2 linked regions of the Caenorhabditis elegans genome follow. The protein of the gene in region 2 purifies or fractionates together with the protein of the main gene of each other region. This does not show direct contact. Each region holds a gene or a part of one and is shown on either strand. Other genes may lie near its edges. The genes, in order: eftu-2 and abcf-2.

The links.
Region 1: the proteins of abcf-2 (region 2) and eftu-2 fractionate together in Caenorhabditis elegans (co-fractionation; one large-scale study listed by BioGRID). This does not show direct contact.

Annotation. Positions count from the first base shown.
Region 1 is NC_003281.10:6,006,694-6,013,173, forward strand, and holds eftu-2 (Tr-type G domain-containing protein), read left to right. Parts: upstream 1-2,866; 5' UTR 2,867-2,886; coding exon 2,887-3,514; intron 3,515-3,560; coding exon 3,561-3,935; intron 3,936-3,982; coding exon 3,983-5,036; intron 5,037-5,089; coding exon 5,090-5,660; intron 5,661-5,735; coding exon 5,736-6,032; 3' UTR 6,033-6,147; downstream 6,148-6,480. Other genes in the region: gcna-1 (Germ cell nuclear acidic-1 protein), read right to left, coding at 1-182, 438-887, 1,275-1,554, 1,603-1,753, 1,802-2,065, 2,112-2,184, 2,232-2,290.
Region 2 is NC_003281.10:13,458,809-13,465,288, forward strand, and holds the start of abcf-2 (ABC transporter domain-containing protein), read right to left. Parts: upstream 3,431-6,480; 5' UTR 3,400-3,430; coding exon 3,325-3,399; intron 3,266-3,324; coding exon 3,077-3,265; intron 3,026-3,076; coding exon 1,895-3,025; intron 1,838-1,894; exon of another isoform or gene 1,801-1,837; coding exon of another isoform or gene 1,626-1,800; intron 1,484-1,625; coding exon of another isoform or gene 827-1,483; intron 779-826; coding exon of another isoform or gene 774-778; exon of another isoform or gene 738-773; intron 612-737; coding exon 483-611; intron 429-482; coding exon 225-428; intron 1-224. Other genes in the region: tag-164 (Major sperm protein), read left to right, coding at 774-778, 827-1,483, 1,626-1,800; T27E9.2 (Cytochrome b-c1 complex subunit 6), read right to left, coding at 3,549-3,776; ant-1.1 (ADP/ATP translocase), read left to right, coding at 4,423-4,480, 4,589-4,653, 4,699-4,919, 4,973-5,531; cdk-5 (Cyclin-dependent-like kinase 5), read right to left, coding at 6,010-6,096, 6,149-6,229.

The sequences.
Region 1 (6,480 bases), 7.5 Mb from region 2:
GAGGAGCTGGTGGAGATGGCTTTGAGGAATTGGAAAGAATTGGACCAACCGGCTTGGCTTTAGGATCTTCAATACGGATTCGAGTATTCGTTCGGCGGCAATAACGGTAGAGAATGAATCTGCCAAAACATCTTCCGCACGCTTTTCGTGAGGTGTCGAGAGATTTCGATTGACGCTTTATTCTGGAGAAAAATTATATTTTTATGTATTGGAAATTGGAAATTTATCAGATTGACGGTTCTGGTGTTTTGCTTCCCTATAAGACTCTCCTATAAATTCTAGTCGATAAGACTGTGACTATTAATAAATTTTTGTGACAGTTCAAAATCCCGAAAAATAAGGTAAATTTTAAATTATATTATTTTTTGGACGTATTATTTTCGAAAATTATTTTTTAATGAATTATCAGATATATCTAGATAAATTAAAAAACTTACTCTACATCACATCCATCTTTCTCACAAACATAGAAGAACTTTGCCTCAATCTCATAACTATGACATCTTTCAATAAATGGAAGTGACTTGAACACCGAAGAGCATCGAGCTCCCCATCTCTTCCATCCTGGGCCATGACCTTCTTTATGAAGCCTGTCGACCACCCATGTTGCTGCATGACACAGTTCATGGATCAGTGTATCTCGTACTCGTTCAGCAGTTGTACATACTACTGGTGACATTTCGACAGTGCTGTTTCCATTTGAATGATTTCTGCATTGGCCAGCTGATTTTCGAAGGCGTGCGTTCCATATGACTTTCAGCTTTTCCGATGGAATTGCTGAAAAGATTCGGCGAACCAGGATGTCTTGAAGACGTGTGAGAAGGGATTCGCGATGCTTTTTATAACGTAGAGATGTTTCCTTGATATACACCTTGGCATCTTCGTGTCTGGAAAAATATTTTTTAAGCAACTAATCTCTATATTATATTTTTTATAAAATTAATTTTTATTCTGCAAAACTTGTAGGAAAATTATCGAGAGCAAGGGTGTCCTAAAAATTTGTTCGATTTTTTTTTCAGAAAAATCTAAAATCTAAAAATCTTATATCGTTAAAGGAAATTTTTTAGCTTTTCCGGAAAACTGAAATGGGAAAAAATGTTTAGAAAACAAAAAATTCATTTTTAATCGATTTAAGTTGGTTAATCTTGATGATAAAAAAGCATGATTTTTTTTCAAAAAAAAAGGAAATTCGCCACAATTTGACGTTATTTAGAGAAATTGAAATATTGGAAAATGAGCATTTTCGATTTTCGATTTCTCAAAAATTATCTTACATTGGTCCTGAGAACTTCTCACTCAATGACAGAAGAAACCATTCTTCTTCGTCAGTTGGTCGCTTCTTCTGTTTTCTATCAGAATAGCTAATCTTCGCTTCAACTTCTGGACTTGATTCTCGATATTCTTCATCGTCGACATCTTCTTCCTCTTCTTCAGATTCTTCTTCTGAACTTTCTTCGCTTATATAATCATCATCAACTACAAAATCTTTTTTAACTGGAATTTTTCTCTCTGGTTTAGCTGGCTCCGTTGGCTTTTCTCGGAGAGTTTTGAGATCTAAAAAAATTAAAATTAAAACGGAATATTTTTTGGAGCATCGTTTACAGTTTTCAAAGTTTCCATCATCTTCTGAATCGGATGAAATAACTATTTTCTTTGTTCGTTGTTTCTTTTCTTCTTTTTCCTTCGAAGGTTTTCCACACGGAGGAACATTTTCCTTGTCATCATTCTCATAATCTGACAATGACTCCACTTTCTGAACTTTTGAATTTTAAAATATTCAGATTTCAAATATGAACATTACCAATGCTTTTTTGACTTCTTTTGGTTTCTGACGTGGTTTCTGGTTGGAATCAAACATTTCCGGATATAACTGTCGAAGCATATCTCTCTCATCTTCTTTTTCAATTTTCTGAAGTAATCTATCACCAGGAGTCATTGGAGCTTCTCTTGCAATGACTCTTGCAGGCGTTCTATAGGCTGGTGTTGGAGAGCTAACTGACATCATGGATATATTATTTTCTAGAATTGAAATGCTTTCGTCGAGATTTGATATTGGCTCATCTTTCTGAAATTTTAGAATTAGCTCATCATATATGAATTTTACTGCTTGCAATTTCTTTTAAGTTGGATTTGCTATCATTATTAGTTGATCTTCGACTGCTGAAGCTGGAACTCCATGCTGTTCTGCAAAAAATGTTCCTACAATCTTAAAATCCTTCCAAAAAACTTACTCGTACGATGACGCTGAAGCATTACTTTTGTTATGAAGATCTCGAAATGGTGTAGGCATTGAGGAATACAGAAGATTTGCAGAATACGAGAAAAATAATTTTAATCTTTGAAATTTTTGATTGGCGGCAAATTAAGCGCCGTTGGTGCAATTGCGTATTTGTTGCCAGAAATGACGAGCAAAACTTTGAACAAGGTTTATTTGGAGCGCGACTTGCTCGACTTGCTCGAGCAAGTCGTTTTTTTTGAGTAGAAAAATGATATTTTAATTATTTTTCAATTTTTCGTAAAAACATTTGCAAGAATTGACCGATTTTCCAAGAATAATTGAGCTGTTCTGGAAATGTGGATTACTGTAGAAAGTACCACAACTGCGCTCCACTGCAAACGTCGGGGAGCGATTTTCGAAAACGAATTCTTAAGCTGAAAAAATATCTTAAACCACATTTTAGCATATTTCCAAGCGCAAAATGTGTGTTCATAGTTACTTCTTGATTTGTATTTTTTGCTTTTGAATCTTGGCTCTTATATTTGCTCTATATTCTCATTGGGACTCTTTGTTTTAGGCAAATACTCACTTCTCTGTATATTTCTTCTTTTTTACTTTGAAAGTCTTTCATAACCGAATTAATTATTCAGAACTGAACGTCTCGAGCGATGGATTCGGATCTCTACGATGAGTTTGGTAACTATATCGGTCCAGAGCTAGACTCTGACGATGATGCCGGAGATATTGATGACAATGGTGATGATGAAGATCGTAGCGATGTGGATGAGGATGATGAACCAGACAGAATGGAAGAAGATGACGCAGAAGAAATTCCCCAGAATCAAGTTGTTCTTCATGAAGATAAAAAGTACTATGCTACAGCTCTCGAAGTATACGGGGAAGGTGTAGAAACCTTGGTCCAAGAGGAAGACGCTCAGCCACTCACTGAACCAATTGTCAAACCAGTATCCAAGAAGAAGTTTCAAGCCGCTGAGCGTTTTCTCCCGGAAACTGTCTACAAGAAAGAATATTTAGCTGATTTAATGGACTGCCCTCATATCATGAGAAATGTTGCAATCGCTGGTCATCTTCATCACGGAAAGACGACTTTCTTGGATTGTCTTATGGAACAAACTCATCCAGAGTTCTACAGAGCTGAAGACGCAGATGCTCGATTTACTGATATCTTGTTCATTGAGAAGCAGAGAGGATGCTCGATTAAATCTCAGCCAGTGAGCATTGTGGCTCAGGATAGTCGAAGCAAAAGCTATTTGCTCAATATAATTGATACTCCAGGTACCTAAACTATAGTGGTTCATTCGTACAAAATATATTATTTTAGGTCACGTGAACTTTTCGGACGAAATGACTGCTTCATACCGTCTTGCTGATGGAGTTGTTGTGATGGTTGATGCTCATGAAGGTGTTATGATGAACACTGAACGAGCAATTCGCCACGCGATTCAAGAGAGGCTTGCAGTAACATTGTGCATTTCGAAGATCGACCGCTTGCTTCTTGAGTTGAAGCTTCCACCAGCAGATGCTTACTTCAAACTCCGTCTTATCATTGATCAAGTCAATAATATATTGAGCACTTTTGCCGAAGAAGACGTTCCAGTACTCTCTCCACTTAACGGCAACGTTATTTTTTCATCGGGACGATACAATGTCTGCTTTTCTCTATTGTCTTTTTCGAATATCTATGCGAAACAACATGGTAAGAAGCTTACGAAATTAATGTCTTGCACGATTTTTATTTTCCAGGTGACTCCTTCAACTCAAAGGAGTTTGCTCGCCGTCTCTGGGGAGATATTTACTTCGAGAAGAAAACTCGCAAATTCGTAAAGAAGTCGCCGTCCCATGATGCTCCACGTACATTTGTGCAGTTCATTCTCGAGCCAATGTACAAGATCTTTTCGCAAGTCGTCGGAGATGTCGATACTTGCCTTCCTGATGTGATGGCTGAGTTGGGAATTCGTTTGTCAAAAGAAGAACAGAAAATGAATGTCCGTCCATTGATTGCTCTCATCTGTAAACGCTTCTTTGGAGATTTCAGTGCATTTGTTGATTTGGTGGTTCAAAATATCAAATCACCACTTGAAAATGCGAAAACTAAAATCGAGCAGACATATCTTGGACCAGCTGATTCCCAATTGGCTCAAGAAATGCAGAAATGTAATGCTGAAGGACCATTGATGGTTCATACAACAAAGAATTATCCCGTAGATGATGCAACTCAGTTCCATGTATTTGGACGTGTTATGAGCGGAACATTGGAAGCAAATACAGACGTCCGTGTACTTGGAGAGAACTACAGTATTCAAGATGAAGAAGATTGCCGAAGAATGACAGTTGGAAGACTATTTGTGCGTGTTGCCAGTTATCAGATTGAAGTTTCTCGTGTTCCTGCAGGTTGCTGGGTACTTATTGAAGGAATTGATCAGCCAATTGTTAAAACTGCAACCATTGCTGAGTTGGGATACGAGGAAGATGTCTACATTTTCCGTCCTCTCAAATTCAACACTCGCAGTTGCGTGAAACTTGCCGTAGAGCCGATTAATCCATCCGAACTCCCGAAAATGTTGGATGGCTTGAGAAAAGTCAACAAGTCATATCCGTTGCTGACGACTAGAGTTGAAGAATCCGGAGAGCACGTGTTGCTCGGAACTGGAGAATTTTATATGGACTGTGTGATGCACGACATGCGAAAGGTGTTCTCAGAGATTGATATCAAAGTTGCTGATCCAGTTGTCACATTCAACGAGACTGTCATCGAAACGAGTACGCTGAAATGTTTTGCAGAGACTCCCAACAAAAAGTGGGTTTTCATTCAATTTTTTCAAAACAATAATTTTTAATCAATTTTTTCAGAAATAAAATCACAATGATGGCTGAACCTCTAGAAAAACAGTTGGATGAGGACATCGAAAATGAAGTTGTTCAAATCGGATGGAATAGACGGCGTCTTGGAGAGTTCTTCCAGACCAAGTACAACTGGGATCTTTTGGCAGCTCGTTCAATTTGGGCATTTGGCCCTGATACTACAGGACCCAACATTCTTCTAGATGACACATTGCCATCGGAAGTTGACAAACACTTGCTATCAACTGTCAGAGAATCTCTTGTTCAAGGATTCCAATGGGCAACCAGAGAAGGCCCATTGTGTGAGGAACCAATTCGTCAAGTGAAGTTCAAACTTCTCGATGCCGCAATCGCCACAGAACCACTTTATCGAGGTGGAGGTCAGATGATCCCAACTGCACGCCGATGTGCCTATTCTGCATTCCTTATGGCCACGCCAAGATTAATGGAGCCATACTATACAGTGGAAGTTGTTGCACCAGCTGATTGTGTAGCTGCTGTATATACAGTGTTAGCTAAACGACGTGGTCACGTCACCACTGATGCACCAATGCCAGGATCACCTATGTACACTATCAGCGTGAGTTTAAATATAATGTTAAAAGAGAACACACATTAAAATAGTTTTATGATATTCTAAAATTATGATTTTCAGGCGTACATTCCAGTAATGGACTCGTTCGGATTCGAAACTGATCTTCGAATTCACACACAGGGACAAGCATTCTGTATGTCTGCTTTCCATCATTGGCAACTCGTACCAGGAGATCCACTCGATAAATCCATTGTTATCAAGACTCTCGACGTCCAGCCAACTCCACATCTCGCCAGAGAGTTCATGATCAAGACCAGAAGACGCAAGGGTTTGTCTGAAGATGTCTCCGTTAACAAGTTCTTCGATGATCCGATGCTTCTCGAACTTGCAAAGCAGCAAGATTATACTGGATTCTAAATTGCGATTTCCTAACTTATTTTCTCATTGTTTCACACTTTTTATCTTTCAGTGTTCTTTCCCGTTTCATTGAGTTGTTTGATCACAATAGTAAAATGAAAATTCTTGTTTATCTATCTATCAAATGATATTCAGAGCAGGGACCAAAATTGAATTCTCTTAGTTTCGTCAAACAAGCTGAATGTCCGTTGAAGGTATTACTCTTGGACAACTTTTTTGAAAAAAAAAAAACTGAAGATCAACATAAGCCTACGCTTAATTTTAAGTCTAAGCATAAGCTATAACCGAATTGGAGGCCCCACGAAAAGGGGAGCAGAACGAAAAGGGGATCTGCAAAAAGGGGATCTGCGAAAAGGGGAGCAACGAAAAGGGGAGCTGGCACTGTGCCAAACGCACAAAACGCAATTTTTCTCACGCAGCGCACGTTGATTTTTGAAATTTTCTTCTA
Region 2 (6,480 bases):
CCAAATCATGCAAAATCGTCACAAAAAATGTCTGAAAATGTGTCTCTGGAGTGTGCAAAAGTTGTTTCAAACTACACAAGACTCCCGGAAAGCTACTCAAGATTCTACTTTACGCAGGAGTTGTGCAAGATTGTAGCAAGAATCCGTAAGAGTTTCACTCTACGTAGGACTTCATCGATCAGCGGTGTCACGCGTTGTTAAAAGCTGTAATAAAAATATGTTACCTGCGAAACGAGACGGAAGTCGTGAGAAACAAGAATCATTCCTCCTGGGAAGCAGTTGATAGCCTCGGCCAATGCATCAATGGATTCCATATCCAAGTGATTAGTAGGTTCGTCAAGAAGTAGAAGATGTGGTTGCTGCCAAGCCAACCAGGCGAACGATACACGACAACGTTGACCGTCAGATAGCTGTTTCATCGGGCACACCTGGAAATAAAAAATGTATTACTAGCTATTCATGATTAGTTTATGCTAACTAACCTGTTCTCTTCCAGTAATTCCATATCTTCCGACAATCTTTCTCATTTCTTCCTTTTCCTTGACATCTGGGAACTCCTTCATCATGAATTCAAGAGCCGATAAGTCCAATGGAAGCTCTTCGTGGAGATGCTGAAAGGAAAAATAAATTATTTAGAAAAAAATTAATTTATAATTTCAAAAAATTATTATTTTTTATTTTTTCCGTGAAAAAATTCCAACTCGATGATTATCGACAAGGGGGGGGGGGAATAAATTATTTCTCAATTCTATCAGGAGACGTCCGGCTCGCAAATGAGGTTTGTTTTGAAACAATTGCTAAACCTTATTCAAAACAATAATTTCAGCGAAACAAAAGAAACCGATAACAATCTCAATGAACAGTCTTCTAATGTTCCTGTTCCTGCAGATCCTCTGCAGCCCGAAGTTAAAAAAGATGATAAACAAGAGAGTGAGATGAAAACTGCGAAGGAAAACTCTCAATCTTCGAAGAGAAAGGGAAAAAGTTCCAAGAAATCGTCAAGCAGCAAGAAAACTCGATCGCGTCTTTCAATTCGTCGCACTCTCCGAGATGATCCCAACAAAGAGATGAAAGCCACACTGCTGACATTTCAAGCCATTCGAAATAAAGGCGATCAAGCTCGTGTTCAACTCCTTCTCTGCAACATTTCTGACCGTGACATATTCGTCAAGCTCCGTTGCAGCGCGGCGTCAAACATCACAGCTCTTCCAGCAGGATCAGGACACATTGCACCGAAATCCCAAATGCGCATTCTTCTCACTTGGCAGAAGCCAGATGGTGTCACTCAGTGGAGCGAACTTGGTACGCCTAAGCTTCTGCTGACAACTTATTTCATGCATCAAGGAATGAAAGCGGCTGATGAGGCACCAACTAACACGCGTCTAATGGCTCGTGTGAGCACCTCGAAGCAGTGCGATGCTGATGCTCCACCAATTGAGCAACTTCTTCTTGATGCTGTCGGCAAAGATTTGGGTGTTACTCCGTGAGTTTTGTTCAATTTAGTTCAAAGTCTGATATGAAAGTGGTCAAAAGCCAGGCTAAATTAGCATATTTACACAGACGATATCTAGAATATTCCCACACATTTCGACCAGAAATTTAAGAATAAGAATGATCAATTTCAGAGCTTCAACAACCAGTCCAAACACTGCTGTTACACAGGCTATGACACCGACTGAGCAAACACCAGCGATGAAAACTGTGAAGCAAGATGAGCATGCCGAGGAGGAAGTTGACAATTTGAGATGGATTATTATCGCCCTGGTCTTGGTCATTGTCTTGCTTTTGCTTCAGAAATAGTGTAACTTTCGAATTGAATGAAATGTTTTTCACTAAATTTTTGGATTTTCTAATTTTGTTTGGACAGCAGATTTTTTTCATAAAAATTCCCAACCTGGTGATAACGTCCAATCTTACAATGCGAATGTCTTCTGATCAATCCGTCAGTTGGCATCACATCAGTACAGAGAAGCTTCAACAGTGTCGATTTTCCAGCTCCGTTAGGTCCGACCAAAGCGATTCTGGTATCCAAATCAATTCCAAAGTCAATATCCTTATAGATCCATGGAGTATTCTCGTTGTATCGGAATGAAACATGCTGAACCATGATAACTGGTGGTGGAATCTCCCCAGCATCAAAGAAGTAAAACTGTTTCACGGTTTCAGTGACAGCCTTTTCAGCGAGGCCTCCGGCAATCATCTTAGCCATAGTTTTTTCTTTGGATTGAGCTTGACGAGCGAGTTTGGCAGAACCGTGACCGAACCTCGCGACGTAATCTTTCATGTGTTGAAGTTGAGACTGTTCCCAGTTGTATCGTTTTTGTTGATTTTCGAGCAATTCAAGACGTGTCTTCACAAACTGGTCGTAGTTTCCTCCATAGTAAACCAATTGCTTTTGGAACAAATGAATGATGTTGGTGCAAACTCCGTTCATGAAATCTTGAGAGTGAGAAACCACCAACAAGGTTCTTTTATACTGAGCGAGTTCCTCCTCAAGCCACACACAAGCTTCCAAATCCAAATGATTGGTCGGTTCGTCGAGAAGTAAGACTGACGGTTTCAGGAAAAGTGCACGAGCGAGAGCAATGCGCATTCTCCATCCTCCAGAAAAATCTTTACATTTTTTCATTTGCATAGTTTTTGTGAATCCAAGTCCGTGCAAAATTTCGGCAGCCTTCTTTTCAGCGAGAGATGCATCCATTTCATCCAGCCTTTCGTAAACATCCATCAGCTTGTCCTGACTTTCCTCATCAGTCTGACTAGCAAGCTGCTCGGCAAGATGTTCCAACTCTTTTCTGACTGAATCGACATCAACGACCGCTTGAAGAGCAGTTTTCTCTGAAGCAGGCATTTCACGGGATACGAGGTACATATCCACGGACTCTGGGATTGGCATTTCCTTGTTGTAGATTGCCTGAATGATGGTAGACTTTCCAGATCCGTTCAATCCGATGAGTCCGTAACGACGTCCACGGTTGAGTTCGAGTTTCGTGTCAACGACAATTTCACGACCGTGGAATGTAATCTGAATGAAAACAAAGTTACTTGTTGGAGTCGCCAATTAAAAACCACTTACCGTCAGGCTTTCTACTCTGTGATCAAGACCCTTTGGATCGGAAGTCAATGATCCGGCGACTGAACGAGCAGCAGCGTTTTCCAATTCGATTTTGGCCAAGGTGGCGGCGGCCTGATCGAGCTCCTCGTCTAAACAGCAGAGACTGTTGACGGACGGATGTTGAGATGACATGGCGGTTGGTGTTTCTACCTGGAAATGAGATGATTATTATTTGTTAAACAAAAAAAAACTAAAAATCAATTGCTCACCTTCTTTTTTCCTTTTCCTCCTTTGGCGGCAGCCTTCTTAGCGGCCTCGCGTGCTTTCTTCGCATCAGACGGCATTGTTGTCCAGCAGTGATGCGGATGGGGTACCCTAAATTTTTATTTATTTATCTCTCAAATACACGGAAAAAGCGACGGATAAAAAATACGAGAGCGAAAATTCACATAAACTAGACGAGAAATCCTCAAAAAAAGCAGGAAAAGAAATATTATTTCAACGAAGCGAAGGCCTTTGGCATGGCACAGTGATCCAAATGGTGAACGTAGTCAGCCATCTCCTGATGGCAGGTCTCCTCAGTGTTAGAACGAGAGTTGACACGATCGTTGCACTCGTCGAGAATACTCTTGAATTCGGTGACATGGTCGGCACATCGCTCACGGTATTGAGTAAGTTGATCGACGTCAGCCTCGAGTGGCTCTTCCTTGTGGCTCGACATACTGATACCCGAAAAAAATTCCATGATAGTGACAAGTCATTGGCTCGATGAGAAGAGAAATATGAAGAAAACTACTTTAAAGCGATTCGAAAAACCGGTCATACCAAACTCCCGTAGGCATAAATTAGCCACAATGCGATATCGATTTTTTTCGGAACATTGAGGTTACGAATAACCAGTTATCTACAGTGTAAATAAACAAAAAACACTTCAAGTACTGCTTATCACTAATACACTATTGTGTTTGCTTTGACATGGCTCATAATTTTCATAAAAACTGAAACTTTCGCAATTAAGTTACTTTCTTGGAGTTATGACCTATTTTTCGAAAATAAATCACGTTTTTTTAATAAAACAAAACGTGAAAAATTCAGGAATGAAGGAACGAACACGTTTAGAAAAGAAAAATACGAAAAATCGATAACAAAACTGATATTTAGGCTCAAAATATGCAAAAAATCCCAAAACTGGGCGGTCAGAGAAAACTAGTGTTTGAATCGCCGCGCCTGACGCACCGTACTTGCGAGCGTGGCGAGACCTGCAAAGTGCCTCACGGGCTGTGCGCGCACCCCGTTTCGACGGGCGGCCGTCTTCCCACTATTGCTTCTGGCAAGCACCGACCACCGAGGTCCTTCAATCTTGAATCATGTCCAAAGAAAAGTCCTTCGACACCAAAAAGTTCTTGATCGATCTCGCCTCAGGAGGTAAGCTTTTTCAGTTTTTATTGCAAAAATTTGGAGGATTTCTATAATTATTAATTTTGGGTTTTCATTCGTCAAATTTGTGATTTAATTAATTTTGTTTTCTTTTAGGTACCGCTGCTGCCGTCTCCAAGACCGCTGTTGCCCCAATTGAGCGTGTCAAGCTTCTCCTCCAGGTGTGTGATGAAACTTTTTTCCACTATAAATATGAAAAATTTTAGGTCCAAGATGCTTCCAAGGCTATCGCCGTTGACAAGCGTTACAAGGGAATCATGGATGTTCTCATCCGTGTCCCAAAGGAGCAAGGAGTTGCTGCCCTCTGGAGAGGAAACCTCGCTAACGTCATCCGGTACTTCCCAACTCAGGCCATGAACTTCGCCTTCAAGGACACATACAAGGCAATCTTCCTTGAGGGACTCGACAAAAAGAAGGACTTCTGGAAGTAAGTTAAACATTGCATTATTGTTTTTAGAAAATTTCACATTTGAAATTCAGGTTCTTCGCAGGAAACTTGGCTTCCGGAGGAGCTGCTGGAGCCACCTCCCTCTGCTTCGTCTACCCACTCGACTTTGCCCGTACCCGTCTTGCTGCTGATATTGGAAAGGCCAACGACCGTGAATTCAAGGGACTTGCTGACTGCCTTATCAAGATCGTGAAATCCGATGGACCAATCGGACTCTACAGAGGATTCTTCGTCTCCGTGCAAGGAATTATCATCTACCGTGCCGCATACTTCGGAATGTTCGATACCGCCAAGATGGTCTTCGCTTCTGATGGACAGAAACTCAACTTCTTCGCCGCTTGGGGAATTGCTCAAGTTGTCACAGTCGGATCTGGAATCCTTTCCTACCCATGGGACACTGTTCGTCGTCGTATGATGATGCAGTCTGGACGCAAGGATATCCTCTACAAAAACACCCTCGATTGCGCAAAGAAGATCATCCAAAACGAAGGAATGTCCGCTATGTTCAAGGGAGCCCTCTCCAACGTCTTCCGTGGAACCGGAGGAGCCCTCGTCTTGGCCATCTACGACGAAATCCAGAAGTTCCTTTAAATTTGATAACACTTTGATAATTTTTACCTTGTCATTGTCCAACAAAATCTCGTTATGTAGCTTGTTTTAGCAAAGTAGTTCACCTAGCTACTATGTTAAGTTTTCAAAAATAAAGCGAGCCACATAAAAAGTTTTAAATCCTCTATTAAAGTTTTCCCCTTTTCAAATTCTCATTCTTTCCCTCAACACCCCGATTGAACATTCGTTAGGATAGCCCCTTTATCTGGACTCGGTTTGACAATCTCGGTTATTGCACCTGTGTTTGCCGTTGATCTTTAAAATTACTCGAACAACAATAAAACGTTGTTGATTTTCCCTTCGTTCAATTATGTGCCACAGAAAGATTTCAAACCGTAGCCGTTTATTAACGATGAGATTTTGTTTCGCAAGCAATGAGGTTCATTTGGGGTCAGTGGGGGAAGTGAATGCCAGGGAAAGCGAGAAAACAATGTGAGTAGGAAAGTGCAATAGTGAATAGTTAGACGTCAGAAGTGTCTGCGAAGTACGCATGGCGTAGAGCTGCATCGGCATCGATTCTTCCTGCTGGATTGCAAACAAGAAGTTTCTGCAAATACTTCGAGTTTGAGTAAGTATAATTTTTATTGGAAAAAAGTTACCTGTAAAAGATCACGGCCACGTGAATTCAAATTAGGTACGATTTGGCTCCATGTAAGCGTTGGATGGTAGATTGGGTAGGGCTGAAAAATGGTATGTTATACTTGTGTGTTCCTATAATGCAATGGAATTCAATTAATTATTGTCAATCTTAAATCTAGAACAGTTGTCTCTGCTTCTCTAAATCTACTCAATACTCTGTTCTCTGTCCTGTCCCAGCCGCCCGTGATTGTATGAATTACGTCACCCGAACAAACAGCTGAGCTCAAAGTACTCAATATCATTTCTTCTTTCTATCTTTTTCTTTTTTAGTTTTTCACCAATTGACACGGGC